Arabidopsis thaliana: one gene and its partners. The protein of the gene in region 2 binds, or shares a complex with, the protein of the main gene of each other region. Each region holds a gene or a part of one and is shown on either strand. Other genes may lie near its edges. The genes, in order: AT2G10440, AT3G10820, AT3G01435 and MED8.

What was found.
Region 1: AT3G10820 (region 2) and AT2G10440 share a complex: the UniProt entries of both Arabidopsis thaliana proteins name them as parts of the mediator complex.
Region 3: AT3G10820 (region 2) and AT3G01435 share a complex: the UniProt entries of both Arabidopsis thaliana proteins name them as parts of the mediator complex.
Region 4: AT3G10820 (region 2) and MED8 share a complex: the UniProt entries of both Arabidopsis thaliana proteins name them as parts of the mediator complex.

What each region holds. Positions count from the first base shown.
Region 1 is NC_003071.7:4,013,221-4,020,021, forward strand, and holds AT2G10440 (mediator of RNA polymerase II transcription subunit), read right to left. Parts: upstream 4,827-6,801; coding exon 4,705-4,826; intron 4,368-4,704; coding exon of another isoform or gene 4,341-4,367; intron 4,206-4,340; coding exon 4,103-4,205; intron 4,017-4,102; coding exon of another isoform or gene 3,950-4,016; intron 3,853-3,949; coding exon of another isoform or gene 3,794-3,852; coding exon 3,681-3,793; intron 3,591-3,680; coding exon 3,466-3,590; intron 3,423-3,465; coding exon 3,030-3,422; intron 2,988-3,029; coding exon 2,893-2,987; intron 2,801-2,892; coding exon 2,726-2,800; intron 2,602-2,725; coding exon 1,630-2,601; intron 1,543-1,629; coding exon 1,228-1,542; intron 1,151-1,227; coding exon 986-1,150; intron 944-985; coding exon 825-943; intron 743-824; coding exon 532-742; downstream 1-531. UniProt on the Arabidopsis thaliana protein: Component of the Mediator complex, a coactivator involved in the regulated transcription of nearly all RNA polymerase II-dependent genes.
Region 2 is NC_003074.8:3,385,617-3,391,547, reverse strand, and holds AT3G10820 (Transcription elongation factor (TFIIS) family protein), read right to left. Parts: upstream 4,349-5,931; 5' UTR 4,191-4,348; coding exon 3,822-4,190; intron 3,711-3,821; coding exon 3,642-3,710; intron 3,529-3,641; coding exon 3,446-3,528; intron 3,149-3,445; coding exon 3,096-3,148; intron 3,018-3,095; coding exon 2,896-3,017; intron 2,784-2,895; coding exon 2,756-2,783; intron 2,672-2,755; coding exon 2,388-2,671; intron 2,304-2,387; coding exon 2,222-2,303; intron 2,138-2,221; coding exon 2,044-2,137; coding exon of another isoform or gene 2,043-2,043; exon of another isoform or gene 1,920-2,042; coding exon 1,886-1,919; exon of another isoform or gene 1,640-1,885; coding exon 1,572-1,639; intron 1,396-1,571; exon of another isoform or gene 1,312-1,395; coding exon 855-1,311; 3' UTR 545-854; downstream 1-544. Other genes in the region: AT3G10840 (alpha/beta-Hydrolases superfamily protein), read left to right, coding at 112-341. UniProt on the Arabidopsis thaliana protein: Component of the Mediator complex, a coactivator involved in the regulated transcription of nearly all RNA polymerase II-dependent genes.
Region 3 is NC_003074.8:166,014-169,873, forward strand, and holds AT3G01435 (uncharacterized protein), read right to left. Parts: upstream 2,276-3,860; 5' UTR 2,093-2,275; intron 2,041-2,092; exon of another isoform or gene 2,018-2,040; 5' UTR 1,972-2,017; coding exon 1,705-1,971; intron 1,017-1,704; coding exon 840-1,016; 3' UTR 501-839; downstream 1-500. Other genes in the region: AT3G01430 (NHL domain protein), read right to left, coding at 1-124; PnsL3 (PsbQ-like 1), read left to right, coding at 2,465-2,741, 2,886-3,172, 3,296-3,394. UniProt on the Arabidopsis thaliana protein: Component of the Mediator complex, a coactivator involved in the regulated transcription of nearly all RNA polymerase II-dependent genes.
Region 4 is NC_003071.7:903,772-909,775, forward strand, and holds MED8 (mediator subunit 8), read left to right. Parts: upstream 1-1,741; 5' UTR 1,742-2,053; intron 2,054-2,179; 5' UTR 2,180-2,206; coding exon 2,207-2,385; intron 2,386-2,475; coding exon 2,476-2,600; intron 2,601-2,694; coding exon 2,695-2,819; intron 2,820-2,887; coding exon 2,888-3,071; intron 3,072-3,176; coding exon 3,177-3,260; intron 3,261-3,381; coding exon 3,382-3,437; intron 3,438-3,527; coding exon 3,528-3,797; intron 3,798-3,885; coding exon 3,886-3,942; intron 3,943-4,259; coding exon 4,260-4,466; intron 4,467-4,553; coding exon 4,554-4,604; intron 4,605-4,701; coding exon 4,702-4,765; intron 4,766-4,848; coding exon 4,849-5,021; 3' UTR 5,022-5,501; downstream 5,502-6,004. UniProt on the Arabidopsis thaliana protein: Component of the Mediator complex, a coactivator involved in the regulated transcription of nearly all RNA polymerase II-dependent genes.

The DNA of each region.
Region 1 (6,801 bases), on a different chromosome or scaffold from region 2:
TGGGTTCGAGATCGACAGAAGGAAAGACGATTCTCAACATTTTGGTGAATTCTAGCGGTTTCCCGCGAATTCAACAGCGGTGCTTGACGTCTCGGCCCGTGTCATAGGGCAAAACACTTCATCAACACGTTTCATCAGCAAAATCTTTATGAGTGGATGTTTAAATTACTAAGGATGATTTAGTTTTATAGGCTTGGCTTCATTTTCTGTAATCCTTTTTTAAAACTTATATTCCAACCTTTTGGGCTCTATAAATGAAACATGTAATAAGAAAAAACAATAAAATACTTTAAAATCTTTTTTAAAAAAAAGGCTTTGTGCCTAAATATTTCAAGATAATTTATTATACTATCGGTTTTGAAACAATTATAATTTCTTGTTAAAATATATACAATAAGAAGACATGAGCCACACCATACAAATAAATGTTACTTCTATCTCAAAGGAAATAAAAAAAAACCTAACTTGGGCTATAAGGCTTCCCACCTAAAAACTATCTTGTACGGTGAGTGAGAAAGGAAGTATTAGTCCTCATGAAGCTCTTAGAACCGTTTCCCAAGCACCATACTTGGAGCTGAAAGTGCCTCCACCATGTCTCTCTGCGTACTCAACCATTGTCGCTCTCGCACAATCATTCCACGTTTGAGCTATTCCTTTCGAAAACCCTGGTTCTGAAAATTCCTTCATGGACAAACTGAACCTTGATCTGGTTCTCGCGGATAGATCCTCATACTTGTGTACACTGAAACATGCAGATATAAATCCTTAAGATCATATATATTTACTCCAATCGTTGTTACTTGATTTCTAAGAAAGATTCATACCTAGTGTCAAAGGAGATTTCCTCGAGAACTATCGGAGAACTATACGGATAATCCATAGGAAATAGTAAGCGTAAAGGTTGAATCTGTGCCTGCATCAAACATTTAGAGACATAAAAAATCTGAGCAGAGTGAGGAAAAAGAAGAAGTTTGAAGTAACTTACAATTTTTCCAGACTTGTAATGATCTTTGAATGTGGCACTGAGAGCCACAGGAGCATAAGTACAAGTGACGATTGTTCCTAAAGAATCTTCATCACATATCTCTACCACTGTCTCTACAAGTCTCCCATTTGTTTCTTTGATTTCTTGCAAAAGGGCATAACCAGGCTACAAGATTGAAAAAATGGATTTATTTCGATGTTTCATTTGTTTTCGTAGTTCGATACCAATAGAGTAGATTTTACCGCAATATTGTTAACTTTCAAGCCAGATGATGTTGTGGAAACAACTTCAGATTCAAGGCTACTCAACTGTTCATAACTATCAATTTGTGATGACATATCTGGCGGCACAATGTTGATTGATCGCTTCATTCTCTTAGACAGATTTGTTTCTTCGTGTGTGGTAAAGTTTCTTGTCCTCTCACTCAAATCCTCGCCTAAACCAGCTCTAGATCCTCCACTAGAAGGGAACGATCCTCCAATCATGTCAACCATACTAATCACCGAGCTAATCTCACTTACAGATTCTGCCAATGATTTTGGTGATGCTGCTTGAAACTAGAAAGCCACACACATTAAAAATTAGGTCAGTAAATAGGAGAAGGTAAAGAAAGTAAACTTAGATAAGCTATAGAGTTTACTTACCGCTTTTATAAGTCGATCAATAGGCCGCTCTGTGATTGGCTCGGGCGGAGGAACAAATAACAGAGGAGTTTCTTGTGTGCCAAGTTTACTAGAAGAATCTAAAGTTGAGTTTATTTCATCAACACCAGAAACTGGAGACTCAACAGATATAGGCATTTCAGAATCTCCAGGAACTGGAGATGGAGCTGGAGCAACAAAAGCCGAACCACTAGAGTTCAATGGGGTTCCGGTTTTGTTAATCGTCGCAGGAAGAATATGCTGGTCAACTAACTGAGGAGAAGAGTGGTTCTGTATCTGAGAGGATGAAACGTTAGACTCTTGCTTTGGAACCTGGCGCTGACTCGATGAGACTTGTTGCTCAAGCAACCTGGCTTTAATGTTGACCCTCTCCCTCATCCTCACATCATTCATCTCATTTGTCTGCATTTGATGTTGATGATTCCCTTGTTGTGGTTGTTGTTGTTGCATTTGTCGGTGATGGAATCGCTTCTGCTTCTGCAACGACTGAACCGAACTGATATTTGTGTTTACGGCCCGAGGATTTTGTTTAACAGAAGGTAACATGACATTTCCTGAGGAAGCCATAATGATGTTCTCGTCTCTTGGATCCAACTTAGGCCTTATTTGCAACAAAGACGAGGCCTCATTTTGGCTACTTGGCATCAACCGTGATCTCCTTTGCTCCTTATAAAGAGACTGTGACACATGGACTTGAGGACTTTGGGTTTGCATTGCTGTTTGAGAAGGAGGAAATTGTCCTTGTTGTTGCTGCGTTGGCCTCAAAACCATGGTCTGACTCTTGGTAAATTTCAATATGTGGTACTCATATTGACTAAACTTGTCTCTATGTTTCTCTGATACACTGCTCCTATGAACATTTAAGAAAAACATAAGGTGTTCCATTGACAATTTTCCCGCCTTTAGCTTTTCAATCCACTGAGCTTGCATCGGTTGCGGCGGAAGAGATTCAGTCTGGAAACATTAGGTTTATTAAACCAAAAACAACACAAAGTTTTAGAAAAAAAAATGATTAAGAAAACCATTAGAACAAATTCTTGTTCCACAAGCAAAACAATTAGGTTATAAAATAAAGTACCTCCCGCAATTTTTCCGCAACTCTTTGGTGCATTAAACTGAGAACAGGTAAACACATCTCTTTCAGTTTTTTTATCTGCAGGACATATCAGAATGGGAATCAATTGAAAACAAAATCAAACCCTAATTGTGATGTTAAGAAGTGAAGAGCAAAGCAAGTGAAGATACCTTCTGATAGGTCTCCTCCTGCCAGTTTCCGGCATTGACATTTACCGTCTTTCCCGTAGAATCTTGAGATGCTACAATGATATTCATTATTAGAACTAAAAACATTATCACAAGAGTTAGTAAGAGAGGAAACATACTAGATGGATTTGCTCTCTCTAATTGTTGTGGCTGGTTCTGTTGATCTGTTATGTTTTGTGTTTGGCGCAACGAACTTGCTGCTTGAAATTGATTGGTATTGTTTTGTACAAAATCCAAATGTTTCTGTAAGTTTCTGTTCTGAGGATCCTGCTGCATGGGGTATTGTTGTCGGTATTGTTGTGACATCATTGGTTGAGATTGTCCTACTTGTTGACCTCTAGTCATACTTTGGAGGTTATTCTTCTGTTGAGACATTGCATGTAAGGTAACATTATTGTTCTGCTGAGACGAGGATACCTGAAAAGCTCCTTGTTGGTCTCTATTGTTTGGTCGTGATGTTGGAAGATTCGTCAGTTGATTAATGAGTTGCTCTTGTTCTTGTCGTTTCTGTTCTTGAGACGGCAGAACCATCTGTTGTTGATGACTAAAACTGACCCGTTGTATCGAAAACTGATTTCTGGTCAGTGATTGAGTGTTTTGTTAGCTTGATTGAGGAAAAGGCTGTTGAATAGGTTGTTTCAACAAACTTTGCGGATGATGTTGCGGCTGCGGTGACCGAGCTTGTTGTTGCATGTGCGAAGGTCGTAAATTACCATGGCGGATTTGATTCATTTGAGGCTGTTGCTGCTGAGGAAGAAGTTGTTGCCTACCATGTATCTGTCTTTGAGAACCGGGAACGGTTATAGGGACCTGACTTGGCAAAGCAGATGACACAGAGATTGCTCTGTGTGTTTTGCTGTAACCATTGTTGGCTCGTTGTAGTCTGCATATATGGCAACAAGGCGGGAAGAGATTGAGCTTGATTCACAACTACTTGAGAAGCTGATGTTTAGATAAACACATAGAAAAAAAAAGTTAGTTAGTGATTTCTTTGTTATTAAGCTAAAATAGTATAATTATGAAACCAAAAACTTATTACCTAGAACTCTAGTGTAAGTTCTCTGTATATAATGCAGTGTTTCACTGAGTTTCCTAAGGTAATCATTCTGAAACATAGCAAGGGGACAATGAGTAAGATATCAAATTCAGATTCTGAAGTTAATAGATGGAGAAACAATTTGTAGTTTAACACCTTATCGGTTGCTATGCTATAAAAATTTTCTTCAAATTTGGAAGCGATGTCGTTAATCTTATATTCTTCATGTGCATGAAACTTTTCCTTGAACTTTTCAACTCTACACATACATGAGAACAAAATATCAGTGACTATGAAGAATTTGGTTATAACTGATATTCAAGAGGAAGTGATACCATTTTAATTGCACTAAAAATACAAAACAGAGAAAATAATCCGTAGTTAATATTCGAACTTACGATAATCGTTTAGCGAACAAACACTGAAACAATTATACATATGTGCCAAGCAATTGTACATAGAAGCGAGAGTAAAACAAGATTCTCCTAGTGAGGAAGAGCCTAAATGCAGGTAATGAGGTTAAAAGAATATGCAAAACTTAAAGTACAAAAGGTTGAAGTTAGGTTTTGTCAACTATGATAAACATTTATGCACAACTCTTATGCTTTAACTGTTGCAATCTTTATCATGCGCAAACTACAAATATCACATCGAAAGCATGACCAAGAAAACCTTACTCTCTTTCATGAATGTTAATAATCAAATAAGAACAATGAGTCCAACAAAAGAAACATGAAACTCTTGAAAGAATGGCTTACATTTTTGAAAGAACCTTTTGCCGTAATTCAGGCTCATGTTGTGATCTCCAATCAATACGATTATTCGCAGCATCACGGTTTCCGCCTTGTTCATTAGGCTTCCAGTTAGTATTTCCCTCCATTAAGTTATGCGTCCTAACGGGGAGATGTATGTATAGGCTTTGACCAAGAACCGCCTCGCTAAACCTTAACAAACAAACAAAAGAATGATTAGAGAAATTACTCAACATGGTAACACAAAACAGATAAATATATAGTACAAGAAAACGACAAAAGAGTATTCAAAAATCAATATGCATATCACGCTAACAACCTATCGCATAATATCACACAACACGTATTATAATATTTGTTGGTGCAGGAATTAGCACCTCCGACAATACTAATTTAAACCGAGGAATAATGTGAATAAAATCGAGAATTCGATTGAACCGGGGTATCCCGGTTAGCCTGTTAATGGGCCTAAGTCATGAGATCGCCCGAAGACTTAAGTCGACAATCAAGATCGCCATAACCAACTTCTTAGGTCGTGTAAAGGGAAAACTTCCATTTAAGAGAAGAGGATCTCATGAAGAATAGAAGTAATGAAGATTTAAACCTAAGATAATTAGAAGTTTATCATATTTTGGTATATTCGACCTATTGTATAAATAGAGGGGTCAAACCCCCCATTGAGATCATCTTTAACCTAATACAAGAGACTACTATTACAGAGCAAACCCTAGCTTTTTGTTTAAGCAACCTAGTTCTTTTCCTTTGATTATTTGTGAGCTAAGAGAGGAGTGAATTTGTCTAAATCCCTTAGTACAAATTCATTGTTTGATTACTGAATCAACAATATTTAATATATAATCCTAACATTTTAACAATCAGCACCCAATGTCTAATCTTATACAAATGAAATTCAGAAATACAAAAGTAAAGGTGATACTATGTTTCCACAGATCCTACCCTCACCTTGGCAACTCGGTTGGATTTTAAGAAATAGGACTAGCAACAATGGATCCGGCTCAACAACGATCTCAAACTACAACAATTTAGATTAATCAATCAAGATTATATTCCCTTAATAATTTGTTATTTAATCTAATAACTAAACCAAGTCTAATAATTTAATATTAGTTGCTTAACACGTAATTGACTACGCCACATCCATTTACGTGACCAAATACTCCCCGGTTTAATAATTAAACCAACGCCACAATTCAAATCACGTACATGTCAATGCTACTTCTGGTTTGACAATTAACCCAACGCTTTCTAATAAGCCAATAACTGACTATATCGTCTTCTTCACTAACACAACCCAACTGACGCCATAACCGATCAACTCAAAAGGTTCCTTAATAATCAAGTTTCAATTCATGGCCGTAACTATACGTAATCCCTTGGTTTAGGTTGGTTCAATAATTAAACAACACAACACCTTAACATGAATACGAGAATAAGGTTTCACCGTTATCTCACTCTGCAACGAAGAAGTAGAGGATTCGGTATCACAGACCCAAACAAAGCACCAATGATAGATCTAGATTCCGGTGAAGAAGGAGGACGAAGAAGGCTAATAGTGGCTCAGATGGTGATGATTAGGGTTGGATGTTACGTGACGATAACTTCACGTCACCACTTAACACGATCGGGACCACAACCACAAACTACAACGATGGTGAACTCGATAGTGGAGGATGATGGTGACTTGAGAGTTGAGATCAAATTTCTATGATTTTGATAAGGTTAACATTGCGTGCTCGTAACATAAGCGGCGAGAGGAAGAAGACATTATATACATACGTACACACTTCTCACGTTTAGGTCTTGTTTTTAATGAAGATGGGCTTAATGAGAAATTGGGTCTTAGCTTTACCTCCTTTCGCCGTCTCCAGTCACGCCGAGACAGCTCCCTTTCATGCTTCTTCCGCCAGAATCCATCGCCGGATACATCTCGAAGATTGAATCAGAGTATTAAGGTAATTCACGACTATGAATCTTCTGGATTAGCGTCAGTGTATTGTTTATATCGATGTTTGCGACTATTTTTGGTTTAAGTTACTGGATTGGTGGTTTTTGAAGAAGCATCAATGTTTATAGGTTTCAGTT
Region 2 (5,931 bases):
ATCTCTTTCTATAAGATTCTGACAATGAATTAGAAATTGGAACCAAATATTGTGCATTGTATGTCTGAACTCTGAACCAATGACATCATACTATCTTCATGTTTCTAATAGTTCTGATTGTGACGGGAGATACGGACCGTATTGTGCCAGCATGGAACGCAGAGAGGCTGGCACGAGCCATACCGGGATCAGTGTTCGAAGTAATTAAGAAATGTGGTCATCTTCCTCAAGAGGAAAAACCAGATGAATTCATATCTATTGTTGCAAAGTTTCTAGGGAATGCTTTTGGAGGGTCACAACAACAAGACGTGGACTTGAAGTTCCAAGGCATTGTATCATGAAGTATAACTATATATTTTAGCTCAATCAAGACTAAATTTTAGAGAGATTCTTCATGTTATTGGACCTGAAGAAACAAATGTCGACAATATCAAAGACTAGATAGATATAGAATAAAATAACCGAGAGACATTGATTCTTCAACAGATTGATATATAAGCGAGAATAATACACCATGTGGTGCTTCTTGCGAGTGCGGGCAAGTTTTGCAGAGTCCAGTTGATTAGCTTGGAGCTTGAAGCTGGCTTGAAGCTCCAACTCGTCAAGCCAACGCAAAGTTTCTGGAAGAACAAAGTCGGCAACATTTTGAAACTCAAAGCGAGGGGTGCAAAGGACTGTGCAGTCTTCCTCAGCCAAGAGGGCGACATGCTTCTTGTTCGTCAGAGTAGCAGCAGTCTCATCTTCCAGATTCTTCTCATTCGCCTGAGCCATGTACTGCCTGAACTTTTCGAGATAAGCCAAACTAGGGGCGCATCTCATTGCAATAGTAAACATGTAACCAAGAGCATCCACTTTCAGGCGCTTGCACTTGTCCAGTGAATCACAATCTCATGCGGATACTGTGAATCAGTTTCCTTGCATATAGCAACTTGTTGGCGAGCAAGAGACAAGTGAGTAGGATCAAATCGCTGATAGAGGAGGCCACCGGGATGAGTTCGATTGCGGGGAGGAAACTCTCTAGAAACCTTAGAGAGCATATGCATAAAGGTTTTCCCTACGCACCTAACCGTCTCGACGGAAGTCTTATGGATAAGGTCAAACTTAGGGCAAGCCTTGGCCTCGAACCTGACAAAGAGTGATCTCGTAAGGTCCTTGAGAGAAACAGATACGATGGCATCAACAAAATCCTTTTCAGTTAGAAGGACACTCATCTTCTTGAAAATCATCATCTCATCCACCATCTCTGCTTTATCTATCTGCACAAGTACGAGTCCAAAATATACAGGAATATCAATCATCAACTCATCATGTCTACATATGCAGCTAAATTTCAATTCTATGCAATGCAAACAGAGACCATTGTTTTACCAAACCTATGCTCTCACTTATGTTTATCAATAAAGGCCACAAAATTAGGGCTTTTCGATTTCCAATCAAAGACTTTCGGTTGTATCCCCGACGTACAAAATCTAGGCCAGAATTCTTAACAGCTCAACGTTTAACCCATCAGGTTTATCGATAACTAGCACTAGGAAAACAAAATTTACAACAAGGAAAATTGAAGTAGGTACCTTGAGAATTGGGAGGAACTATCACGAGGATTCGCGAGATTGAGGATGAGGGAAGGTAACTCGTAACCCTAGGAATTTATCACTCTGTTATATTTCACCTCATAAGTGATATTAAAAATTACAAAATCTTTGTATAAACAGATTTAAAAAGTTTGCTTGCCTCGCAAGTTAGGTTTAGGGATGGTCAAATACGAGAAGCCCTTTTGTCCTAATAATTTTCTTTTTTATTTTCATAATGAAACATGAAGAAAGTGAAAAAGGGATTTTCCCTTGTCACAATTATGAGGTTCTATTGTCACAAAACCGGACCAAACCGGGAATTCACTGGACCAGAAGTACCAATAAATACTGGGACAAAAGAATAGAGCATCCTAAGAAGTTTATGTTGGATCTGTCAATGCACTTTTGTTGTATATTAACGCCTCTGAATGGTCGTAGTAATTGTATAGATCATCCGAAGGAAAAAATGGACTATCTTCGTGTGGCGGGTCTCTTGAGTTGCGGTTTCTGAACTTTATTTTGCTTTGGGATAGTTTCCAGTACTTGTATCGTCCTCTGTCTCTTAGCTGTTCAAAAACAAATGGGTCATTAAGAATTAGGTGTATTGTAATAGTGGAAATATTGAAATCTCTTAAGACGATTTGACTAACCATTCTCATGTTGGTGGTAGCTCTCTTGGAGTTTCCGCTTTGCAAACTCAAACTTTGAGTCTGGATCCAGAGCTTTGAGTTTCTGAACAAAGACAAGAACACTTGCTATTAGAAACAAAACAGATTAATAATCAAACACCACGGCTTTATTAACTCAAACACTCACATCTTGTTGAGGTCCAGCAAGTTTCCGCTTTTGCTCAGTAACAGCAGTTGGTTTTCGTTGGATTGCGGATACCATTTGTTCTCTACTTTGCTTTGTTTGTCTTTTAGGCTCGACAACATCTGTGGCTGAGTGCTTCATAGGTCTAACATCAGCTTCTTCTCTCCTCGTCTGTTGATCATTGCAGTACCTCCCAACCACATTTGCATCATTTGTTCCCTTGGGTCTCCTCCCCGCACTACTTTGCGATTTTCTTTCATGTTTGGACTCCACACTGTGACGAGGATCTGAAAACAGTGGCCACCATGAGTGTCAAAATATAGGAAAACTTTCAAGTAGAGAACAGAGTACCAAAGAGTATACTAACTCACTTCCATCGCAGTCCAAACAATCTAAGATCTTCAAGTGACCCAAGACATTATGAAACAAGGACGAGGGAGGAAACTTGTCAGGATAACATTTCGTCTATGCCAGAAATAAAATATGATGAGAGGGAAAAATGTTAATAGACCTGAGAAAGTTCAAACCCATTAGGTTCAGGTGCATAGATATCTAAATCATGTGGAGGAGAAGGAAAGGCTTCTTCTTCATCAATTACTGAAAGGTTTAGAGACTCTGGCGTCCCTTCAGTGCCTGCAAGACCCAATTACTATAAATCTAGACCAAAACCTGCTCGCACTGACTACGGAACAGGAGGAGAGAGCTATTTACCAGCCATTTCCTCTGGGGTGTTCATCCACTGGTCCACCAGCCTCTTCCACTCTCTGTGCATCCCATATATAAAAACACAATCTTTATACTCGGGAGCCAGAAAGTAAGGAAGAGTAAAATGTTCTAAGTATTGAGCTAACACAAGAGCAGCTCCCTAATGATCAACCAAGGCTTTTATAATGACATTTTACAATTTGAGACATCCTACAAGGCAACTGGTTTGCATCTAAATCAAACCGTGGAGGTTCAATTTTTTTGGAACATTTTGCCAAAGTTTAATTCACATCACAGATGCGAGAGTATGAGAACAAATGAAACTAAGCACACAATGAGAATGATGAAACTCATACGCGAAAAGAGTCTTTGCAAGTTTGCTAATCTTATCGGAACTATGTCTCCTCAGACCATTAACAGCCTTTCCAATTTCAGTATCCTGCAAGAACGTAAACACTTAAATCACTCCACAGCCTCGAAAAGCTCCATCAGAATAAGCAACTTCCACTACACCAAATCATACAATATCAAAACAACACCAAAAAAACAAACCTTAAGAATGTCCACACTCATAGACATTGACTCAAGCTTTCTCAGAGATTCGAGTAACACAGAATCTTTCTGCAAAAAAGATGACAGAAACCAAAAACTCAACAATCAACACAAAGATTCCAAATTTAACCAATGAATTAGCACAAGTTTTAATGTAATCCAAGCAAAGAGACTAAAAACCTCATCGTCTTTGTTCGACAAGATATCTCTGATCCTCATAACCTCATCAACACTCACAGACGCCTCTTCACCTTCACCCGTCGCAACACCAGAATCACCCCTATCACCGCCGCCGCCAACTCCAACTATCTCCACCGCCGCTTCGTCTCCAGCTATCGAGAGCTCAAGGTGGTCACAACCAATGCAGCGACTCACTTTACAAGAGAAGAGAAGCTCAGCAATTCTATCACTCCTGGATTTAAACTCCTTTGGCCAATCTGCAGCAGCTACCATAATCGCATGATCAATGATACCAAAAATATCAGAATCTCCTCGCCGGAAATACTCTCTCCAAGTATCCAACGAAACAGATGGTCTCATCTTCGCCATCACGAAACGGCGAGGGAAAATCGATTCCGGAATCCGAATTCCTCGATCTGCAAAACCCTAATTAAATTTGAATTTAGGTTTTTGAATACGAATCAATATAGTACTAGTTGTGTAGTTTTTTTTTTTTTTAAGTTTCTCTGCAGGAAATAAAATTCGCCTGAGAATCTGACAAAAGTTTCTGCAGAAAGTCCACAAGAACTTTCCCGAGAAAACTTAAAGAAACAGAGCTTGAGCCAATTAAAAGAGGGCAAGAGAAGAAGACCCTAGAATTTTAAAAAGCCAGAAATTTATGTCGACATTAAAAAACTTAGGTTATAAAAAAAAATGGTAATAGTTTTGATCATTTATCTTGATAACTCATCTGTTTTATTTAAGTAAAATATTGAATTTGTCAATATATATATTAATTCTAAAGATATAGGCTTATGATTAACTGAATGATTATTTAGTTAATAGTAAATTAGTAATAACTAGACTATACATGTGTCGTCCTATATGACATAATGACCCTTGATGAAAAACACGTCACATGGCCTAGCTAGTATAAAGATGGGATATTCGTTTTTTTAAAGTTATGTTATCAACATTACATTCAGAGCATACTGTAATAGTAAATTATTAACACATTACACATGTCCTGATACCAACAATGGGGTACTCATTTTTCAAAGTTATGGATAATTACATTTATCACGTGAATTACTTGAAAGGTAATCTAAATAAACGCGTTTTTGGTGTCGCAATTATGTCGTTTTAAAAAGCATTGTTCATAGTCCCACAGATGTTTAGCACTATTTTTTAATTAGTACTAGTATTAAATTATTATTTTTGTATTTTTTTCATTAAATTTCTCGTTAGTTTCGTGCTTTGACTCTTTTGTTAAGCTTCAGCCACATGTTCCCGTTGTTGAAGCTGTCTTTTGAAGTTTCGTCGTCGATATCATCCTCGACTCTATTTTCAGTTGCGTTAAAGACTTCTCTTCTTCCAAAAGTTTCCTTTTCTTCTATTTTAAATATTCTTTCAGCACTTGGAGATTCACAAGTTTGTCGGATCAATCCATTTTAACTCCGGTAAGCCATACTTGCATGATTCGTTTTGTTTCCACCGATCACATGTTATCGTTTATGCTCCATAGCTTAATCTTTGACTCATTCATGATCTTTTTTTGGTTTAATGTTAAAACCCATGCATGATCTTGTTTCTGCATATTTTTGTTTTGGTTCAGTGTAAAAATTTCTGCATAATTTTGGTTCTACAAAAATAGCTACTATGCAAAAGCAAGATCACGGGGTCAAAGATTAAGCTATGGAGCTTAAACACTACTTGTATTTGACTATTTGTTTCTACGTCATTTGCGTTTGATTTGAATCTAAAGGCCTTTTAATCGATTTCTTGTCATGTGTTTGTAAGGGTTCAGTGTTTTATGTATCTTTCAAATTGTGCTTCTAGTGTATCCATTTTGGATTTGTGAAAGTTGTTTAGGGCTTATATATCTAAAATTGTAAAACCTATTTTAAATTAATATAACAAAACAGTTTCGGACTTTTAACTCATAATATCTCTTCGAATTTAGTTCATTTTCCAACTTTGAAATTCGTTGGCTTGTGATCTTGAAGCCTTGTTCCGTCCGGAATTTATGTTACTTAGTCACCAGTAGAGTTACAAACGATGAGTTATTTTAATCTTTTTTCTAAAAGGTCCTTGACAATGGTTTGACGAGAAAAAATCGTTTTTCCTTTTT
Region 3 (3,860 bases), 3.2 Mb from region 2:
GAGTTGATGGCTGAGATGAGGCAAGGCAGGGCATGAGGAAACAACAACCTCGCTTCGCGAACAACGCCTCGTGCATATCGTCGGTGGCATCAACTTCAGCGATCGGCGGCGATTGATGACTCATTCTCAGAGAGAAACAGAAACGAAGGAAATATGGAATTTCGTCCTGATCTAGCTACTCTCTTTTGTCTCCTTAGATCGTCGTTCCTCTTCTCATCTCCAACTCTAAACCCTAATTTTCTCCCTCTACCCAAGAGATTTCTATCACCTTCTCCAATCAACGCGTCTCTTGAGCTGTAACTAAAACAGAAGAGCACAAAACGGCGTAACCGCCAACCCGGCAATATTGGTTCTCATTAACCCTTTTTAACCGCTTTGGTTTTATCACATCTAACCGGGAATTTCAGCTGTTGATGCTATTAATTTATTAAACCACATATGAATGAAGGGGTTCATATACGTAATTGACGTTAGCACATTTGGTTCCAAGTATTGATCGATACATTAAACCGCAATAAAATTGGTCCGTTTCTCTCTGGCCCAAAATTGGTTCGATTTCTCCATAAGCTGAAATTGATAACTCCCAGTGGATGTAATGTATCTAATATTCTTGGAACAGATTCATTGCAAGTGAATGTTCTAACCAAAATCACCTAATCTTTTTGCAAAATCTAATATAGTAAGTAGGATAATATCTTACTTTTGCAACAAGCCACTCATTCGTAAAAACCGGACATACTTTAATGGGATAACCTACAAGTCTACAACTCATCTGGAAACTATATCACAACCGATGGTTTAGTATAGTTCTTCAAGTAACCTTTTTATGAATACCAATATCAATCAGAAGAAGGATACCGGTCAGCAGTTTGTTTCAGATCTTCAAGCTGCGTGAGAACATATTCAAGCTTCTGGAAGCAGATCTCATTGGCTATTCTCGCGTTGTAATCGCATTTCTCAAAGGGACGGTACTCGCAAGCGCTTTTGATCTCTTCCCTTAGTGTCACTTGTATATCCTGCAAGTTTCACAAGAACTTCATCTTATTATGGATTGGCGATAACATTATAGCACATTTATGTACAGTCAAAGATCAACAAGTTCATGAACCAGACAATGAAGCTGATATCTTCAAACTTTATGATTATCTCTAGAAAAAAAGCAGAATCAAAAGCTTTTTACTTGTTCACAGAATGTAATGATCCCTAATCTAGACATGTGTCAAATGAGAGCCCAAATGTTCTTTAAACAGTGAGATTCCATCCAATATGAAAATATCAGCATCCATCACTCATAAACCTTAAGCCTAAGAATAAAGGATCAATGTCAAATCCTAAGAAACAGGAAAGGAATACAAACCTAGAGATTGTGATACATGAACCCATATGTTAACTAGTCACAGAAGAATCACAAAACGAGAAGCAGCGGCCATCTTGAAGACTAAAACCAAAATCAAAATTCTAAACAAAGCCCTTAACTTTGATCAGGAAATGTAATGAACCCTAATATAGACTTGTGTCAAATTAGCCCAAACGATCAACACTCGAGAAAAGATACCAATTCCCCAGAGAGATTGAGTCAGCAAGAACACTAATCTAGCTAGACTTGTGTCAAGTGATCCCCAATGTTCTTTGATCAGGTAGTTTATTAATACACTAATGCAAAAGAAATCAGAAAATATTTGAAGAAGAGATAGAGTAAGAAACCTTCATAGATTGCATAAACTCTCGGCAATGGCTGTTGACGAACTCTTTCTTGGGACCAGAAGGGCTCGCGAGTTCTTCCATCACTCCACCAGCTAGTTCCAAAACCTTAACAACTCTCTGCCCGGAAAACCAAAAATAAAAACACAAAAACACATTCACATCAAATCGTCCAATAAAATCTCTAAGGAAAGAGTGAGTTTTCCAAAATTTCACATTCTCAACATTCTGGAGTCGCTGCAACGAAGTGTTCTGCGTCTGCGGATCCATTGGACTCTCCACGATTTCTTTTAGACCAGAGAGAGAGAACTCCAAACTGAGATATATCACAATACCGTCAAATCCACTCATACACATACCCTAAATACTCAAATCGGAGCAGTGGGAGTACCTCAATCGAACACGGCGACGCGAGACAGTGAAGATGGCAGAGACGATGAAATAACACGGAGAATTTCGATTGGAAACGGCGTGCTTATGATCAGCAACGGAGGGAAGATTTTGGGGAATCGGCGACACTCGGCAATACAGATCGGTGAAGGAAAAAGCAAAGAAGATACAAGTTTTTTTTGTCACGTAAAACGGCACGAACTCTACTTTATCAATTCAGGAACAGCGAGTAGTTAAAATATTGAATTACGAAAACACCCCTTGGTTCAGATAAAATCTTTGTGATGGCCGCTTTTCTCATTTATAACGGATAAAAACCGTAAACAATACACAAGAACAGAGGCTGACACCTAAAGCTTACTCTCTAACTGCAATGGCTCACTTCATAGACCTCAACAGTCTCACCAACACTTTACCGTCTCTTCCGAAACTACCCGAGAGTCGTAAAACCGGGAAATCCAGCGGGTTTGCTTGCAGGAGAACTGAAGAATTTCAAGAACCGGATTCGGTACAGATCACAAGACGGATGACATTAGGATTTGCTGTCTCAATAGGTCTTACCGGAATTCTCGGCGAAAATAATGTTTCCTTGGCACAAGACAATGGGTTTTGGATTGATGGTCCTCTTCCAATTCCTCCTATTTACAACAGTAAGCGCCATTTTATATTCTTGATTGTTTTCTTTCTTCAAATGTTTGAACATTTTGAGCCATACAACTATTCAAGATGAGAATTCGATTTGGTAGAATCATTTGATTTCCGGTTTTGAATTCGTCCTCGATTTGAATATACAGATATCGTGAATGAGAAGACGGGAACGAGAACATTCATAAAGAAAGGAGTGTATGTAGCGGATATCGGGACGAAAGGAAGAATGTATAGAGTTAAAAAGAATGCTTTTGATCTCTTGGCAATGGAGGATTTGATCGGACCAGATACTTTAAACTATGTGAAAAAGTACTTGAGGCTTAAATCCACATTTTTGTTTTACGATTTCGACAATCTCATCTCTGCTGCTGCCTCTGAAGACAAGCAACCTCTCACTGATTTAGCCAACAGATTGTTCGACAATTTCGAAAAGGTAAGTGTACTAATGAAGTCCTGGTTCGTTCAAACCGAAGAGACTATTGTTTTTTTAAAATTTCTTCTCTTTTCTGATATATCCTATATGTTTATTTGTTGTTTTCTTGGTGTTTCGACACAGCTTGAAGATGCAGCTAAGACGAAGAACTTAGCAGAGACGGAATCGTGTTATAAAGATACAAAGTTTCTTCTTCAAGAGGTAATGACCAGAATGGCATGATCCTGGTTCGGTTTATACCGGTTTACTTGCTATTGATGATCCTACATGGTTGATAACTCTGTGGTCATAAATTGTAATCTTTGCGGAAAAATATTGAGATCTAGTAATCAAAAAAAAAAAATGTAATGTATAGACCAAAATATGATCAAATTTATAACGAATTGGATTTTAATTTTTCAATCAAAGATACAGAAAGAAGAGTATATGCACTAAATGTTTAATATTGAAATCTTAGTTTTAAGAAAACATTTGGCCAAAAAAAAAAAAAGTTTTAAGAAAACCAATGTAATATAGACTAAAACATGATATATATCAAATAAACCGACTAACTTTTTGCCTAAAACTAACGGTTGAGTCGTTGAGATTTATCTTACCACATCGACATATTCACACACAAAATAAAGAAACAAACCCATAAACCAAAGATAGAGAAACAGTGGTCGTACAACGTTTACTCACAGAGGCT
Region 4 (6,004 bases), on a different chromosome or scaffold from region 2:
ATCCCTGGTAGATTGTGCAACCAAACCACACACAATACGTGTTCATTTATTTTTTCTATATCTTCAATAGATGTCACTTAATTCTTTTCTATACATAATTTCTCAGTCAGATGAGATTTTTTGAGGTTTTCCATATTTCTCCGGCGATAAAAGTTAGTAGTGTCTTTGGAGGGCTGTCAAAGTAACGCCATGACAGCCAAAAGATGAGAAACTCTCTCTTCCTTCCCTTCCCACAAACTCTAGCCTCTGTATCTATTCTTTTTCATTCTTTCAATGTAAAACAAACAAACAAAACAATGTTTACTACATTTTTGTTTTTGTTTTTGTCTTCAAAGTACTCTTGTTTATTAAGTGATTTATACAAAAGTTTACAAGTTATGTAGGATGAACTAAGGAAGCTTATGTTTATGGGTTAGAGAGACTACATTGGATGATTCTTCTAGGATTTTGAATCACCAAGAACCATCAACAAAGCCAACAGTATCTTTCACACAAGTTACTAATATCTTCTTAAATAGTTTTACTTTGTAAGAACCATTTCCTTGAGTGGGTTTACAATGGGACGGACTAACTTGCGTACAAAGACCGTTTTTTATTCACTATTCATAATTTTGGTCCGCAGTTTAGTAAATAGGAAAAAATATAAAAACTCTAGGGGAATTGGAAAACTAACCAAAAAAAAATATAATTAAGAAACTAGCATAAAAAAAAAAGCAATGATATCCTCTATATTTTATATATTAATTCCAAGTTTACCCCCTCTATCTCTTTCCGTCTACCTCTCTCTTCCCTTCTCTCTCCCCTCTATCTTTTTCTCTCTCTCTCTTTCTCTCTCTTTCTTTTTTTCTCCCCCTCTCTCTTTCTCCTCCCAATAAAGTTCCTACACCTACCTCGTTACTTGTTTTTTATTTCAAATTAGAGTCTCTTAATTACTTTAGGGTGATATTTGATTTGGGGGTTTCGAATTACAGAGCGAGGAACACAAGTTAGGTTCAGGGAATTGACTTTCGTTGTTGCACTTGATGATGAAATAGGGTTCCGTTGTTGCGCTTGGTGTATTGGTGATGAAATTGAGTTCCGTTGTTGCATTTTGAGAGATACTATTCTATTTTGTAAATAGTATACTATTTACGTATACCTTGTTCTATATACGTTTTAAAATGAATTGTTTGTTTTGATTAAAGATGTTAAGTGATTTCATTAATGTTTTAGATTTAAACCCTTGGGTTCCCTATATATTATCCCTTTAGGGTTTAGTATACTTCCATCAAAAAATATTGTCAATTTATATAGAACGTTATGTTATTCATTGACAACACTATTCACATCTAAATTATTTTGTGTCTATTTTCAAAAATTTAAGTCATGATATTTGTAGAAAACTATACAACTTTTTAATAGATATATCATGAACTTGAATTAAATTTTTTAAGATCAGATAATATGAGTTACAATTGAAAAGGAGTAAAGAAAAAAGAAAGAGAAAAGAGAATTTCTCTCCTACCACCTATTTCTCTTCTCACCTCAACACCAATAATAAAGTCACGTCAGCTCACACTAATCATTCTCCTTCTTCGCTGACGAAGCGTAACACCAGGACAGTGATGTCTTTTTACTCTCCTTGAAGGTTATTTACTACATTTACAAATTTATGGTGTTAGTTGGTTAATTATTTAGTAAAAAAGTGTTATATCTACAAATCACGCAAAACTCTATTACGGACCAACAAATAGTTTATTTGAAAGCAAAAAAACAAAACTTGGTCCGTAACGGATTATTGTCCGTCTTAGAAATATAATGGTCTACTCCGCAAACAGATTTGTCCGTCTTAGCGACATATTGGTCTAGTCTGCAAACGGATTTATCCGCTCTGTCTATTTGTTGCAACCTTGTAAGTTTTCAAAGAGGAAACACATATATATGTTATGGATTCGGTATGTTATTATATTTCCCGGTTCTATTTCTCAAACACACTCTCTCGTCTTCTCCAATAACTAACTTCTCCAAATCAAAGCCTTCTTCGAGATTTTGCGCATTCCTCGTTTTCTAATTCGTAAGTTTCTCTTTTGTGTGTGTTTCTAATCGAAACTTTTGTGTCAATTTCAAATCGGAAACCTAATTAATTTGTTCAATTCGCTGTGATGTTAAAAACCCCTAATTACGTTAAATTTGGAATTAGGGTTTGTGTATTAGCTCTGTGTTATCAATGGAGACACAGCCGCAGCAACCACCTCCTCCTCCGGTAGCTGAGAAGCTGAATCCAAAACTGGAGAAGGAACTGAATCTGGAGTCGTTGAAGACACGAGCCGTTAGCTTGGCCAAAGCCATTGCTCGAATCCTTGAAGATTTCGACGCTTATGGTCGAACCAACACTACTCCTAAATGGTTCATCATCATCGAATCCAGAATTTGATAATATTTTGATGTTTATGAATTTTTTGTAACAAGGATTGATTTTCTTTTTGTTTTGAACAGGCAGGATATTCTAGGGCAGTATTCGATGGTAAATCTCGAGCTTTTTAACATTGTGGAAGAAGTAAAGAGAGTTTCAAATGCGTTTGTTGTGCTTCCTAAGAACGTCAATGCTATGAACGCTGCAAGTATGGTCTTTTTTTAGTTGTTTTAGTTGATGAGTTAAATGAATTGTGAATGTGATGAACTGGTTTAGCTTAGCATTTATCAGTGAATCTGCAGTTTTACCGGTTATGTTGTCTTCGAAATTACTACCGGAGATGGAAACTGATGACAATGCCAAGAGAGAGCAGTTGCTTCAAGGTGTTCAGAGTTTGCCTATACCAATGCAAATCGAAAGGCTTAAGGTTAGTTTTGTAATGTATTTTTGTTGTGATTTGTTTGCTGGTTTTTGAAATGGTATCTGTTATTACAGGCGAGGATGGATATGATTGCAGCAGCTTGTGAAAATGCAGAAAGAGTATTAGCTGATACTCGTAAAGCTTACGGATTTGGCACTCGTCAAGGCCCGTCTATGCTTCCTACTATGGATAAAGGTCAAGCTGCAAAGATTCAGGAGCAGGAGAAAATGCTACGAGATGCTGTAAATGACGGTAAAGGTAAGAGGGTTTTAGAATTTATTGAGTCATTTGATAGTGTACGAAACTGCAGTTTTCTGTTTTGCTGAATTCCTTCTCATGTTCTTTTACAATGGTTGTTTCTAGGAACACAACTGCCTCCAGACCAGAGACAGATAACCACTGCACTTCCACCACATCTGGCAGATGTGCTAATTATCAATGATGCAGGTAACGATTTCATTGATCTGTCTGGTAGAAGTAAACCCAATGCTTGAATCTTCTTTATTTTGTTACTACTACCAATGGTATTCTCACGTTGTTAATGGCTCCAAAAATTCTCTTTCATTAGGTAAGATTGCATTACCTGGGCAATCAAACAACATTAACAATCAAGGAATGATGCAGGTTAAACTAGTTTATTCTCTCTAGTTGTGATGATTATTACTTTTGTTAGTATCATTGTCTTTCGAGGTTCATGTCTTTGTGTGTTTTTAGGTTTCCGGGACTCAATTTGTGGGAAGATCAGCTGCATCTCCATCTGGTCCTAATTTTGATAACACAACATCTCCCTTACCATATTCCAATTCTCCTCGCGCTACGGGTATGGTTAATGTGCCTTCGCCTCAGCATCAAATCCAGCAACAACAGTTTCAACAGCAGCAGCAAAGGTCAAAATTAATGCAGTTGCCTCAACATCAGCAGCAGCAACTACTTGCACAACAACAACAACAGCTCAGGCAATCTTCTATGCAGGGATTGGGTCAAGTAGGCTTTGACATTTTGCAGACGTAGCAATTGACTGTTTTTTCCTACCATACTGCTTTATTGAGCAACATGCTAATTCTTTGTGTAGAGTCAGATACCAGCACTTCATGATATGCATGGGCAAGCTCAGCAAAAGTTTCAGACGGTAAGATAAATAGAACTACAACATAGTTAGGGGATAGATGTGTGAAGTGAAAAGGATCAGACACTACCTTGGTCAATTATTTGTATCATTATGCAGTAGTTATGGCCATAAATGAAGATGACTAGACGTATTTATACAAGTTTACATATACCAAGTGAATGATTCATACTCTTGAAAAGTTATCCTAGATCTTGGGACTTGGCAGAAGCTTTTATATAAAAGTAACTGTGACAGTTCGTAGTTTCAAACAGTAGAATCAAATGAAATTATGAAACAAGCTTTTGTCTTTTAAGTGTGAGTTTTATCTTATTTTTCAGTCACATGGGCAACATCAAATGCCATATTCCCAGCCAATGGGCGCGCACCAACAATTCCAAGCTAGACAGCTCTCAGGTGGACATATTCAGCATAGCATGTCTCAAGGACAGCTCAATCCAGCGATGAACCGTCACTTAAACCAGTTTTCAGGTGGAGCCAATAGTGCATTGTTTACTTCTGCACAAGGCTCCCCAAGTAGCCAAATGGTCAGTCACCTCTCTTTAACCTCTTGAATTGATGATTCGAAACAATTACTAATCATATTTTCTACGTACTTTTTCTTTTAATTCTAGATACCAAACATGTCATCTATGCAATCTCAGACACTTGTTCCTAGGATGCAGGTTAGCTCAAAAACTCCTCTACTCATTATGTTTCCCAAATCTGAACGATGAACATTGTCTTAATCTGATGATCTCTTTGGATTTTTATGGTTGTCAGCAATTTGGAGTTTCGGGTACCAATCCCCAAAGAAGCCATTCGTCTCAAATGTTGGGTGACCAGAGTAAGTAAACAAATCTCTTCTAAAACATGTTTTCTTACATCAAAATCGATTCCCTGACTATTTCATTTGTCCTATCTTTACAGTGTTTAACACCAGCGGAATGATGCAAACACAGCAAACACAAATTCAGCAATCGCAACAGCAGCAGCAGCAGCAACAACAAGGAGGCTATGGAAATATGCAGACGAATCAGCAGAGTCTACAGCCTAATAACATGATGCAGAATGCTCAACAAAGGCACCAAAATCCTCAATAACCCCTTTTAAATAATTTGGGCTTGTAATGGGCCGATGCCTGTATTTTGTAGTACCAAAGGCCTGGCCCATTCTTTAACATTAATACACTCACCAGATTTCTCTAGTTGTATGGTACTTTCACACTACACTAGTACACTTTGTTTACTTGTATCATTGTATGAGGTTAAAAACGTGAAGCAGAGATTGGACGGTGGAGGATTGTTTTCGTTCTGACATGTTTATTGAGAATTCGACACGTGGCATCGACGTGAACATCTCGACGCCGTTGATGGGGTTATAGAGACAAAACGAAGACGCGTTTCTGTTGTACACGGGACTCGAGAGAGCGACGTGTCTATGAAGTTTACCTGTTTTCTGAACTTTAAACAGAGAGCTTTAAAACTGCGACTCGAAAGCTATTAAATTTTCTGACAATTTGTTTTGTTTCTTGTCAACTTAATTTTATATACTCATTTTTTATGTACTTATTTAGCTCAACGACTCGTTTAGTTACCTCAATCAAATTTTGAAATTTAGTTACCATTTCTTTTAAATTTTTTGTTTGCTTTTGTTACAAATATGAAAAACTAGTTTACTTTGGTTTTTAGGAATTTGCGAAAAAATCACTCAAAATCGCTTATTTTTACAATTTATTGTGCACATTCAAAAAATGCAAAATAAATTTATAAAATTTAAAATAATACACAATATAATTTATTTGTGCGATTTTGCATATGTTATAAACGTTTTCACTATAACATATATTTGTATTCAAAAGTTTTAAAGATATAATTGAACTCATCATCTCAAAGGCTTTGATTTGATATATTATTTTCTTTAATATAAATATTCAATGCATAATTTTCTTTAAATTAATTTTATATAAAATAAATATTTTACTATATATTATATGAAATAAATGCTTTATTATAGGGAAAAAACCCAAAACAAACCTCAACTTGTTATGAATAAAGATGGATGCTCATTATAACGCCCATCATCT